Nothobranchius furzeri: one gene and its partners. Each later gene encodes a partner of the first gene's protein in a complex. Links are inferred from orthologs where the notes say so. Each region holds a gene or a part of one and is shown in the gene's direction. Other genes may lie near its edges.

What was found. Proteins that work in one complex are often made in the same cells at the same time.
Region 2: the proteins of orc2 (region 1) and lrwd1 are in contact, whole or in part, in a crystal structure (PDB 8SIU), measured with the Rattus norvegicus proteins. The link is inferred for Nothobranchius furzeri from reciprocal best matches to the Homo sapiens genes ORC2 and LRWD1. Residues at the interface, in NP_001012003.1 of Rattus norvegicus: Val11, Pro12, Ser13, Val14, Gln15, Phe16, Val17, Gly18, Asp19, Val22, Leu23, Ser24, His25, Ile26, Leu27, Asp28; in XP_038945348.1 of Rattus norvegicus: Pro262, Leu263, His264, Phe265, Leu266, Gln267, Cys268, Ser270, Asn273, Ser274, Pro275, Leu320, Val321, Leu322, His323, Lys324, Tyr325, Lys326, Leu367, Val369, Gly372, Phe373, Cys374, Pro596, Pro598, Val599, Ala600, Val605, Ile630.
Region 3: the proteins of orc2 (region 1) and orc5 are in contact, whole or in part, in a cryo-EM structure (PDB 7JPO), measured with the Homo sapiens proteins. The link is inferred for Nothobranchius furzeri from reciprocal best matches to the Homo sapiens genes ORC2 and ORC5. Residues at the interface, in NP_006181.1 of Homo sapiens: Val240, Glu241, Tyr243, Phe244, Glu245, Ser248, Asp396, Gln398, Arg401, Gly402, Glu403, His426, Asn428, Ala429, Pro430, Leu431, Met432, Trp433, Asp434, His435, Gln438, Trp445; in NP_002544.1 of Homo sapiens: Asp324, Lys325, Phe328, Leu329, Leu359, Asp360, Arg361, Ala364, Tyr367, Ser368, Ala378, Asn379, Phe381, Ser382, Gln383, Thr385, Ser386, Thr389, Asp400, Gln401, Leu402, Asp403, Tyr407.

What each region holds. Positions count from the first base shown.
Region 1 is NC_091751.1:63,947,975-63,952,065, forward strand, and holds the start of orc2 (origin recognition complex subunit 2), read left to right. Parts: upstream 1-1,263; 5' UTR 1,264-1,400; exon of another isoform or gene 1,401-1,534; 5' UTR 1,535-1,536; coding exon 1,537-1,606; intron 1,607-1,725; coding exon 1,726-1,884; intron 1,885-2,255; coding exon 2,256-2,342; intron 2,343-2,431; coding exon 2,432-2,521; intron 2,522-2,597; coding exon 2,598-2,629; intron 2,630-2,708; coding exon 2,709-2,766; intron 2,767-2,841; coding exon 2,842-3,140; intron 3,141-3,219; coding exon 3,220-3,329; intron 3,330-4,091. UniProt on the Homo sapiens protein: Component of the origin recognition complex (ORC) that binds origins of replication. DNA-binding is ATP-dependent. The specific DNA sequences that define origins of replication have not been identified yet.
Region 2 is NC_091750.1:30,550,574-30,554,925, reverse strand, and holds the start of lrwd1 (leucine-rich repeat and WD repeat-containing protein 1), read left to right. Parts: upstream 1-1,528; 5' UTR 1,529-1,600; intron 1,601-1,996; 5' UTR 1,997-2,008; coding exon 2,009-2,112; intron 2,113-2,271; coding exon 2,272-2,506; intron 2,507-2,979; coding exon 2,980-3,099; intron 3,100-3,285; coding exon 3,286-3,432; intron 3,433-3,525; coding exon 3,526-3,618; intron 3,619-3,759; coding exon 3,760-4,098; intron 4,099-4,252; coding exon 4,253-4,352. Other genes in the region: alkbh4 (alpha-ketoglutarate-dependent dioxygenase alkB homolog 4), read right to left, coding at 55-576, 659-847, 1,138-1,302. UniProt on the Homo sapiens protein: Required for G1/S transition. Recruits and stabilizes the origin recognition complex (ORC) onto chromatin during G1 to establish pre-replication complex (preRC) and to heterochromatic sites in post-replicated cells.
Region 3 is NC_091741.1:42,936,152-42,940,220, forward strand, and holds the start of orc5 (origin recognition complex subunit 5), read left to right. Parts: upstream 1-1,245; 5' UTR 1,246-1,382; coding exon 1,383-1,496; intron 1,497-2,170; coding exon 2,171-2,263; intron 2,264-3,463; coding exon 3,464-3,649; intron 3,650-3,858; coding exon 3,859-3,933; intron 3,934-4,069. Other genes in the region: lhfpl3 (LHFPL tetraspan subfamily member 3 protein), read right to left, coding at 1-97. UniProt on the Homo sapiens protein: Component of the origin recognition complex (ORC) that binds origins of replication. DNA-binding is ATP-dependent. The specific DNA sequences that define origins of replication have not been identified yet.

The sequences.
Region 1 (4,091 bases):
CCAGAACAAACCCAAACTTATGAGCGAGTGTATTTCCCTGCCTCGCCCCATGAGATCTCCGAGGAAGACATAAAAATGAATAACATCCAGAAGATTAAAGGAGGAATTTAGATCCACATAAAGGAGATTTTATACATGGTGGATTGTATTCATACAGAATTGAAGATGTTCTTGTCAAAAAAGTGCAGATATTGTCTTGTGTAAAACTGTATCAACTAAATTTTTGTAGTGAAAGGTGAAAAAATAAACTGTTTCAATGAGCAAAAGTGAATCCAAAGTGTTAAATAGTTTTCTAAATCTGGATTCTCACGAACAAATTTGTCAGTATAAATATAGACGCAACACTTTTGTTTTTGCTCCCATTTTTCATGAGCTGAACTGAAACCTCTGAAACTTTTTCTACATGCGGTGGGATGGATCATCTTGGTAGAGGGAAAGTGCTCACTAACACACACACACACGTAGACAGATTTCAGAATAATATTTGAGGCCGCTAGAACGAAAAGACTTAACTAATAGCAAGACATCTAAATCCCCTTTCTTTAGTGAATCTTTAACCGGATTGTGGAGTTGAATGAATACTAAATAAACAATAATCACAGCATCAAACGTGACACACACTGATTCTCAAGACTACTTGAAATTGAAACTGAATGAAAAAAATAAACATGGCAATAAAATGCCCTTTACAGATTACCAAGAAATGTGATTCTTATTGAAAATGACCACAAACTGAATGTAACTTGAAATATGGACATTAACTAATGTCAGATCAGATATCAACCTGAATCATTAAAGTATTTTAATCAGTATCCAGTCAATCCTTGTATTTAGGATTTGGTTTAATCCTAATTTATTATTTTTATAATTCATATATTATTTTTAAACATATTTGTAATCATTTTTTAAATCTTTTTATACTTGAATTTTTTGGTTTTGTGAAGCGCCTCGTGATTTTTAACTTGAGAGAAAAGATCGTTCTCTTTCTTTCTTTTCTTTACAACGTTAAACTTTATTTTCACAGTTCTATTTTCATTATTTTCACTACTTCTTCTTTTCTGTGCTTAAGCGTGTCATATTGTGTCCATTACATTTGATCTTACCTGTACAAAGTTTTTTCTACTGCTGTGAATTAGAGTAAGAATACCTGACTTGAATATTATTTGTCTGTGGACTTGTGACAGGCGGACTTGTTGAAAGGATTCTTGGGAAACGTAGTTTTACTGCTACTAGCGTTTTGATTGGCCACTTTATGACCTTTCCACTCAGTCACGTGATTTAAAATGTTCAGAATGGCGCGGAAACTTGTCACATCGCTTCTCAATTAAACTTTCCGACTTTAAAGTTTTGTTTATGTTTTAAATTTTATATTGTTTTGCGGACTTTTTCCGCCCGTTTGAGTAAGTCTCGACCTTTTGCGCTCACTTTCCTCAGCTTTAGCGCGAGAGTTCAAACCGACTCTAGTAGCAGGGCTAATTGTGTGTTTTGCTGCGTGGCTTCAGGCTTGTATCGTGTGTTTTGTGTTTATTGGTAGAAATGAGCGTGTTGGAGGTGAAGTTCGTTGGGGATGGGGATGTTTTGGAGCACATCGTGGACAAACAGGAGGGTATGAGCTGGTTTATCTCTGCTGTTTTGTTTTTTGCCCATTCGCTCTCGTTTTATGTGTGCGTGTGTGTGTGTGCGCGCGCGCGCGCGCGTGTGTGTGTGTGTGTGTGTTGTGACTAGTATTGCAGAGCAGTGCTGGCTCTGGGCTGAGGATGGTGAAGTTTAAGAGCCCGGCTGGACAGAGGGAATGCCTGGAGGAGACTCGGTGTGATGGAGATGAAAACGGAGTCCATGATGAGCTGGGTTATGTCCGAGCTTTAGGAACTGAAAACGATGAAGGTATCCCTTCCTTGGTTCTGGTTTTGTCCTGCTGCATTTTCACCCTCATCCTCCACTCTTCCATCCATAAATCTGCTCTTTGGCTTTCCTCCACGACTCCTGCCTGGCTGTTCCAGCCTGAGCATCCTTCTGCAGATTCCTCCATGTCCAAACCATCTTAGCCTGATCTTATTTCAAATCATCTAACGCAGTCCCTCTAATCCTGATCCTGTCACTCCTGAAGACAATCTCAACATTTTCACCTGCCCTGCCTCCTGTCTTCTCGGTGCCACTGTAGATCATCGAGTTTAGTATTTTGACATTACCTAATAAAGCCATAACATGAACCTAAATGTCTCTTAATGCCACTAATATGTTCTTTGGCTTCACAGAAGTAGACGATAATCCTTCTAGAGTTGCTGGTTCCTCCATCTTCACCTTCCAGAAAGTCAAACGAAGTCACAGCTTGGCCCAAACTGGTGAATCTCCGATTACCTCTCGAACGAAGGCTCAACGTTCATCTTCAGCTGCATTTATTAAACCGTTGTTTTGTTGTTTCCCTTCGTAGCGAGCGAACTGGCTCGGACCCCGGGAAAAAGCGTGAGCTTCACCAGGGACACAAACTCGGAACCCACCACTCCCTCTCGGACAGGCAGCAGTGAGTCGAGCGAACCCACTCCCCGTCCGCCTGTGCTCTCATTATGAAATGATCAGGTTTACTTTTGTCTGTCTAGGCCACGCAGGTGAAAACAGGACACCACAGAGGGTGAGAGAGCTAATACATTTCACTTTATCCAGTGAAGGATTTAGTTTGTTTTAATTTAGTTTTGTTTCTCCTGAAACAGAAAAAGAGTGTCCGGTTTGTCTCCACCACCCCTCACAGACTCAGGAAGAGACTTACAGGTACGCCTGGCCTGTTGTAGTTGTGTTCGTTTAGTAACGCTGGTGTAATCTGGGTGTGGTGGGGCTTATTTTCAGCACCAACTCTTCGGTCTGACAGCGACAGTGAACTCTCCCCCTCTGACTCTGAGGAGGACGAGCTCAAAGAAGAGCAGAGAGGGAAGCAAGAGGACAAGGAGAATGTGAAAAAGACGAGAACCCCTAGTAAAGGGCTTTCTGCAGCTCTCTACAAGACTCCTGCCAAGAGGAGCAAGAACACAGCCGAGCCTCTGAATCAGCCCACCATGACCGAGGAGTATTTTGAGGCTCATGGCAGCTCAAAGGTCCTGACGTCGGACCGGACCCTCCAGCGTTTGCACACCCCTAAGTTTGACCGGGTGTGTGAATTAAAAGTTACATGTTAGTCCATTATAATAAACCTTTGGCTAAACTCCACCTCTTTTACTTTTTGGACAGGAGACGTTGGATCGTCTTTTAGAAGATAAACCGTCTTGCTACTCAAAAGAGATCCAGCAGCTGCACGACAAACACAGGAAGCACTTTAACAAATGGATGTTACAGCTGCAGTGAGTGTGGCGGCGTGCCCTTTCCTACGGTTTGACTCTGTTCTACTAAAACGTCTCCCTAGGGGTTGTATGAACTAGTCGACTTCACGGCTCTGTAGTGACTTTTTATGCCTGTCATCGACTAGTCGCTGTCACGTGATAATGACTGACAAGATGCAGTCCTCCAGCAGGTGATGAGCCCCTGCGTCGGGAGGCGGAGGCGACGCGCTGTGCCAGAGCGTCGGTACTGACACCGGCGGTAAAACGGACATTTAACCAAACTGTGACCTTTACCCTCTTGCAATTTAACCTTCCCCTCACCCCCATCCTAATCTTAACCAGTTTGCGCATGCAAAGCTCTGATCGTTGACGCGCTCCAGACATCTGCGTCCAGAGCACCGCCAAATCAGGTGTCACCACCTCAAAAACTAACTAAACACGCGATCGTTCATGTCGGCTCATTTCCTTTCATGTTTTCTGTCTGTTATTTGTGCCTGATGCGTTTCGCTGCTGCGGAGCGAGGCTCTTCACCTGTTTTGTCCTCCGGTGACGCACCCCCAAGATTCCACTATCTCCGCTCCGGCACGAACTCCGCAGCAAAAACGGTCCCGTTGTAGTCGGCCGGCGAGCAGCGGCACTCCGCTGTTTTTGCGGTCGGTAGATCTTTTAGAACTGCAGTTCAAAGGTAACTCATAAGGTGAATATATATGAACCCAGGTAGCAGTTTTTCTTTAGGACTGAGAGGAGATGCAGGAAGATAATAAACAGGCAGGACAGAAAAAT
Region 2 (4,352 bases), on another chromosome or scaffold:
AGTTTCAGACTGAGACACTTCACGTCTACTTTGTCCAGCTTTTTCTGCCTCTGTTTATATTGGAGTTCCTCCGAAGCTTAAAGCAGTAGTCAACAGTTCAGCTCCCAGCTTCGCCTGCTTCCCTCCAAGGAGGAACTCTGCAGACAGCTCTCTGTATGTGCTGCAGACCCTGCGTTCATGAATATCCTTCCTATGAATTGCATGTTTCCACCTATGCCTCGCCTCGCCGTATAACACAACTAAACACCTGCGAGGAAGTCGTACAGCAACCTGGACTTCCTCTGAAAGTCCCAACTCTGGCAGACCCTGCTCAAGAGACATGGTGAGCACAGTTTCTGATAACATGTTGATGGTGACCAGCCGCTCCCCCCACAACCAGGAGTCATCCAGGTGCGGATCAATGGCTGAGCCTCTCTCCGGAGCGTAATCCAGATTGCACTGCTCCACTGGTTGAAAGCCCGCAAGATTTGCATCTTGCTGCATCCGCAGCACCAGTTTTTGGCTTAAAGCAGGAAGTCCAGTAAAGTCTGCGATGCGCACTTTTCTCTTCTTGAAGTTTACTTTAGGGCCAAAGTCCTGCAACCGTGTAAAATGAAAAATTTGAATGTTAAAAATATGTAACCCACAAAAAAGTACATTTTCATTAAATGTTTTCCACCTGTTTCCTTCGGCCAGACTGTGAGGGATGCCACACATCCTGGTCCATTACGCTAATCAGCTCCCTCTCCTCCTCCTCTGATATAAAGTTCTCCCACAGGAAGACTCCAGAAAAAGGGAAGGAAGAGCCCTCTTCATCTTCGCTGACAGCGAGCCCCGTCTTGGCATTATAGAGGAAATGATGCACAATCTTCATACCAAAAACAGAGATAACATTAATAAACAAAAGCTGTGATGACATGTTTTAATTATAAAATTTCATTTCACAATAAGTAAAGATACATGCCGTCAACATTTAAATAAACCAGGGTTGTATCTCATTATTTAAATCAAATTTACAACATTGTACCAGAATATTGTCAGAACAAACAAGAGTGATTTTTGATAAACAACACAATTTGTCCAGTGAGGGCTTCCGTACCAAGGTTTACAGACGTTACATCGCACATTAAAACTGAGATTTTTGTTCGACACACGTACCTTTGACTCTCTTGTTTCAAGCAGTACACTCGCCTTAAACGTTTCACAGACAAGACAGCGTCGGATGCCTTTACAAGCGCATGGAATAACCCCGTCGCCGTCGTCAGAGACCATCATCATCATGTTGCATCTTCTTCTACTTGGAAATCGTAGCTCCACTGCCATCTAGCGGACGGAGCCGCAGGCGTAAAATTACTTCTTTTAACCCCTATTTTCGTTCTGCCGCACTGTTATTGGCGCATTAAAATTTCAAATAAAACAAAATATGACAATACTTAGTAATATATGTGATAAACAAGAAATATAATAATCGAAAGTCGTATTTGTTTGACTTGTCTTACAGCCAATGTTCAGGGTAAACTGTGGCCAAAGTTTTAGGTAAACCACGCCCACCGGATGTAGACGGAGTTTCCCCGGGAAAGGTCAGTTGTGTTGCAGACACAAAAGTTGCAGAGAGGAGTTGGTAAGTAACATAAAAAATACTTTATTAAACATTATTAAAGGTGTTTGCTCATTTGTTATGGCTAGAAAAAGAGTCAGTTATATTACTAACTACTAACCTAGCAAAGAGTTGATTAATCGATCGTGTCAACGTGGTTATGCTAGCTACTGCTAAAGTAAAACCAATCGAAATCAAACTAACAGATTCAGTTTTACCTTGCTGAAGCATGAAGTTGATTTGGTTATATTAAATTTTTCTCAGTAAAGATGTCACTTGGCAATGGCATCGTCTCTTTACTAAATGAAAAAATGCTAAATATTTAGCTCGTTTTAAGTACAGACATTATTTAAACTTATCAGGCCATACAACTTAATCAGTGAGTGCGAATAAAAGTTTAACATGTTATTTTGCTGATAGATTCCACATTAGATGTCCTTTTCCAGCAGATCAGCTATGGAGAATGTAACAGAGAAGCTTTTACTGGAGAAAGGTTCTCCAAAAACCAACAAACTGGAGCAAATCAAAACTCTGAAGTAAGTCTTCCCCCTTGATTAACTATTTGTGTGTTCTGGTGAAGTCACTCTTTTATCAGTTGATGACTAATCGCATTTAATAGTAAAATTAGTTTTACTTGCAGATATGAAGCTTGATCTAAAATCCCCATGTTGACTTGACGGGTTTCTTCTATTTAGTCTGTCTAAGATGGCGCTGAAGCACGGGGATCTTCCTGTGAAGCTGCTATCCCGCCTGCAGTCCCTGGAGCGGTGGGATCTATCCGGGAACAGGCTGCAGGAGCTTCCAAAGAACCTGAAGCTACCTGCACTTCGGTACCTGGACCTCACCAACAACCAGATGGAGGATGTCACCACCTTAGAGTCTCTGAGCAGCTTGGAGGAACTAAAAATGGATGACAACTTTTACATCACAGTGAGGACTTGGCTGTTTTTGTCGCATGTAATCCAGTACCGTTCCGTCTCTGTTATAACATAAAGGACGGAGCTGCCTTTTTAAAATTCAAACTATTCGATTGGTCTTATTTAAATGAGTGGTTTAAGTATAATTTCTGTCTTTGAATTCATCTCAGAACTTTACAGAATCGTAAAACGTTACCGTGGCATCTTTTGGAGTCTGGTTGTTACATGTGATGCAGTTTTTCCACCCATGACTATTTTACCGCGACAATATCCACATGAGGTGAAAAAAACAAACCAAAAGGAAGTTTTCCTCTAACGCTGTCATCAGATAACTACTTCAACAAGTCTAGATGTTTTATTAGCACGTCTTTTTGTTCTCTGCAGCGCTGCAGCTTTTCCTTTTTGTTAGATATTCCTTTATTTTTGTCTCAAACTTTAAAATTCTCTTTTACAACTGAGATCAAGTCCTGACTCTGTTATTTTTAGATAAGTGATAGTTACAAGCTGATGGTGTTGCTGCCCAAACTGAGGATTTACAACAACAAAGATGTCAGCACCACTGCCAGCCACTTACGATACGTGTTCAGTGACAACCTGAGGACCAGGGTATGAAAACCGTTTAATACTTTCGTTTGAAAACATTCATGATGATTATTCATTAGACTTTGAGTTAAGCTGTGGCTCTCGATTGCATCACACCTCTAATGTTGCATTTTAAAAGGAAACGACCCAGCTGCTGCACTTTCTCATCATATCCCACACTTGGGTCACTCAGCTGCTGCTTGATTTCAGATAGTCACAGTTTGGGAGCGGAGCTTCAGTCTCCCAGATCCCATCACGGCCGGCAAAATGTCCGATCTGGAGAAGAACTTTGTGAACGCTGCTCGTCATCAAGTCAAATTTGGTCCCAGTTCAGTCAGCGATTTCACCAAATGGAGGGCAAGTCCTGAATTTACAAGGATCTCTGGGACTTTTTTGCTAATTTTCATCCCTTTTTAACAGTTTTGTTTTTACTTCCTTTTGATTTTTCAGGTGGAGATTCTTGCTAAAGAGCATCTGCGCTCACTGACACAACCAAAAGAAGACTTCATCCCCAAGGAGTCTGCTGAGGCCACAAAGAACTGTGTAAGATTGCTAATCAGCACCTTTTATTTAAACTTCACTGTTACAATACTGTCATTGGCACAAATGGCGTCTCTAAATAAAACTTCTTGCTGTTTCTGTTCAAACTGGGTCAAACATTTTACTCTATCTTCCTTTTCTCAGATAATTTCCTCGCCTTCCAAGAGGAAACGAACCAAACTGGTGACAGATGATAAAGTAATTTTGACGCCTCACAAGAAGTTGAGAGTCAACGCTCTAGAATCTTCAGCTGCTGAAGACAGCCCTCGCAAGTCCCGCAGGGTCTCTCTCCGGACAGACGGGGCTGTCTCCACTCCCACCAGAGGACAGGCGAGGACAGAGACGCCCAGGAAGAGGTCTAAATCACAGCAACTCGAAGAGGAAGAAGTTCGGGTTGAACAGAAAAAAGAAGTCAGCAAAACCAAACAGCTGCACAGGAGTCAGTACACTCTGCCTATAATAAAGATTTGTACTAAGAGTCAGGTAAAGAAACACACAGATGACTCCTTTAGATGCTGTAGAACCACAAAAACATTCCAGTGTCGTCGTTTATTCCGTACAAGACACAATCTTGTCAGACAACAACCCACAGGGGTTTGTGTTCGTTCTCATCCGTCTCTTGTGTGTGATCCTCCAGCAGCCGGTGCATCTGAAGCCTCTCCACGTGCTCCAGTGTCACAGTAAACAGGACAGCTCCGGGGACTTCTCCACGCAGCTGTGGGCCTGCGCTTTCCAGC
Region 3 (4,069 bases), on another chromosome or scaffold:
TGGCCCTGGAGTTCCGGACGTAGTTGGTTTGGTAGATTTTGGCAGCCTCGGAGGCAGGGAGCATGGTGGTGGTCGCGCTGGGAGCCCCGGGGACCATTTCCTCTGGTCTGTGTGGGGAGGATGCGGATCAAAGTGGCACCTGCCTCATCTGGTAATCAGCAGAACTTCCTCTGGTTCGGTTGTGTTTTCTTTCCTTACACTCGTGTCCACAGCATCAGCTGCACTGTATAGAGGCAAGGCCGGGTCCTGATTTCTGTTCTGGAGCTCCGATTTTCATTCATCAGCCTGCAGAATCGAAACGTGGCTCTGGGAAAATACGAGCGCCGGTAATCCATTTGCAGATTCATTCTCCATTTGCGCGCATATGTAGTGGAATGCAGTCCGCTTCTTATCAGGGGATGTGTGAGATCTCCCTGCACGGATCCGTCTGAGGAGCACAACCGCAGATGTCCGTGTATAGTACAGGGCCAACCCACATCCCTTAATCCCATTCTGACGTTGCTCGCGCGAAATTTCAAACACAAAGATTTAAAATGAAAAATGTACAGAAAATATGGTAACATGACTTCAGTGGCAATGAATTAGAGATTTTGCATGACTAAAAATTACTTATTTTTACTACTAAAACGAACAAAGATAAAAACACAAAGCGATCAGTGATCATTATGATTTTTCGGAATGTTTTCATTTTTAATCATCAAATCTTAATTCATGCAAATTAGTAATTTTACCAAATGAACTGATTTTTTTGCTATCTAGACTGACAAACAATCAAATATTTAAATTTAAGAACTAGACAGAGTTTGTTATTTCAACCAATATAAAACAGTGACGTATTAAAATGTTCGTTACAAAAGTAGTAGATTAAGTCAATGCTATTATTTCTGGATCATATTGTAGATAAATCCCTATATTACTAAAATACTAACCTAAAATCACCACATCAAATCCAAAATATGCTATTTAAATTGTGTTTAACCTTTAAACTACATTTCCCAGAGTTCTGAGCTCTATTTTCATTGGGTAACAGAGGATCACGTTTCTACGCAATTCGAAGGCGCGCGAGAAAATGCAGCTAACGTTTTATCCAGTTCTCTTAAGAGAAAATGCATTTTCTCATCATTTAAAGTTGCTTACTTGGTTTCTTTCAGGGTGTTAGTTTACCCCCAACTTGTTCTATCGGTACTTTCCCGACGTTAATTCTCTTTTTGGCACTTTTTCCTCCCAAATTACCGCCTGTGTTCGTCTTTTCCGCCTCGTGTCGGTGGACTTTCAGTTACAAAAAGCCGAGTTTTATGCTAACTGTCACGGTTTTAGACAGATTATTCTAAGCCTCGTGACGATTAAACCGTGCGGGCATATTTGGGAGTTGGACGGTAAGGATGACGGGGCTGTTACAGCAACCAGGATACGACGAAGAAAGGCTAAAAAGAGTCTCAGAGCTGCTGCCTTGTAGAGAAGTCCAGGCTGGGATGCTGCTGTCTCTCATGGGACAGGTAGGAACTATAATGGTGGTTTAAAAGAATCGTTGGCTTGGTCTCCATTCTCACTGTCAGCGTTTGATTGTGTTTTCTCTGTCAGGTAAACTGGAGTTTCACGTCTGTAAACCTTTGTTTCGCAGGCACATTACAGCTTGCCGAAGATGCTCATCAAATCTTTTTGTGTTAGTGCAATGCAAGTTGTATAATCTTGATGGTGTCATTTGGCTGTTTGAGCACAACGGGCTGTCCTCAGTAGAGCTTTTTCAATTTATTGCATGATTTTTCTTTGCAGTACATATTTACACATTTTTATAATATAAGTTTGCTTGAGAAAATACAATGGTACCCAGAAACCTTCATATGTTTACAGACATCTAAACCTAAATAAAAGCTGCATCAAGATGACATAATTCCCTAATGTAAATTATGTTTGGGCAACTGCAGCAAAATATATTTTGGTGTAATTCTAAAGTTATACGAGAATCTAAAAAAATATCTAAAAAATATGAAGCTGTGGGATAATCAAGAGCCAGCAGTAGCTTATTTTTTTTTTTTTTTTTTTGTGACAAAGCTATTGTTACAAGCTTCTAATGTTGTGAGTAGATGATGACATTTTAATCCTTGGGAAATTTATACATTAAAATGCAAAAAAATATTGATACAAAAATGCTATTTTTATGCTCTTCCAGCCACAGCAGTACTGCTACCCTTCAGTCTTCATCTATGGCCATCGGTCCTCAGGAAAAAGTCACGTGACAAATATTTTGATGGAAGAGTTGGAGGTGAGAGATACTTATTGTCTATGGGTGCCTTTCCAAAAAAAAATTCATTAAATGGCAAATTTCTATGCTTGTCCCTCATTTCAGAAATTGATACCCATTTATTTATTACACAGACTAAAATAGTTTATTCCTTGTAATTAGGAATATTAAAGGTTACAGATAAGAAAAACCCCAAATTCATGCTCCATAAAATAAGAACATTATGAAGGGGTGAAGGTGGCTTAGGGGTTAGGAGTTCACTCTGTAACTGGTGGTTTACTGGTTCAATCCCAGGCTGTGTTGAGTTGGCCATTGTGTCAGACTGTCAGTGGTTGGAGGGACCTGTGGCACCTGTGTAAGGGAGCCTCGCCTCCGTCAAAATGCCCCAGTTTAGCTGTGGTTACAGTGTAGCTCATCAGTGTGTGAATGACTGTAGGTTGAAGCACTTTGGAGTCCTCTAACTCAGAAAGGCGCTAATAAACAAATGCAGGCCATTCATCACTTTGACATGATCTGTATTACATCATCATGAGAATGACAAGAAATAACCGCTTGAAATAGTTTATTTTACATTTAACAAGTCTATTAGCTTTACTTCATGAAATGTGGGCTGATTATAAAATCCAGAGTTTGAGCACAATAAGTCGCCTTTCTGGAAAAAAAAGATGGTTGAAGGACAAGTGATGAACATGTGGGCTTGTTTTATTTCAGAGTTGGATCCTTACTCTTTCAGCTTGTGTAAACCTTTAAACAGACCACTGCAGAGTACTATTACAATAACAAAATATCTAGAAGCAAACAAAGCCTTTTAAATCGTGTAGAATATTAAAATTTGTAGTTTATGGATGGCTACTTTCTTGCCAGTGGTTTTTATATGGGTTTTATTATAAAGAACTCAAAGTAGTTTGTGTTTCTTCTACAAACGTTCACATAAAAGTGGTGGCTACAAAAAGTGTACATCAGGGCCTTCTTTTGTCCAGAAAAGACCCGAATCACAAATACATTCATTCAAGGTTTTTATATAAAGGCCCCAGCATACTTTTTATTTATTTAATTTGTATTTCTTTCATCAAATGTTAGAATAAAATAGACTTTATTAATCACACAGTGGGGAAATTTATTACTTTTTAAATCGGATTAAAAATTAACACAGAGTGGAGTTTTTATGTTCACCCATCTTATGACTTTTTGACCTTCACCATTGCTCCTTCTCCTCCTCAGCTTCCTCACGCCACGGTCAGCTGCGTCGAATGTGTGTCTGTTGCGTTGCTGTTTGAACAAGTGCTACTGTCCTTCTTTGGCTGCGATGCTGCCTCGCTGCTCCCTCGTAGTCCCTCCTTGTCTGACTTTGTGCGGATCTACAGGCAACAATCCTCCCAGTTTCCTGCTGAGCAGACGCGATACATCGTGAGTGACACATCTGTGTTATTTATGATGCCATCTGTTGTAATGCAAGTGGTAAACAAAGCTCCAGATGTATTGACCTGACGTTTCTGTGCCAGAAACAGTGTTAATTTGATGTAGAATTTGGACTGAAAGTGTTTTTCATTTAAACACCTTTTATTTAGTGAGTGTAAATGTTGTAAACCGAAAGTAAACACGTGGATATGTTTCAGATTATGGAGAAGCCTGAACTTCTAAGAGACGCCGATGCCAATCTTCTTCCTGCCCTCCTTCGTCTTCAGGAACTGGTGAGAAAACACAGCTCGCTCTTTGTGGTGTTTATCACCCAAAACGCTTTGTTGTTGATAAACTGCGCCGATGATGAAGAGTTTTATTAGTGAGGAAATGTCCTTGAGCTGCTGTTTGTAGAGAGCTCTTTCATAA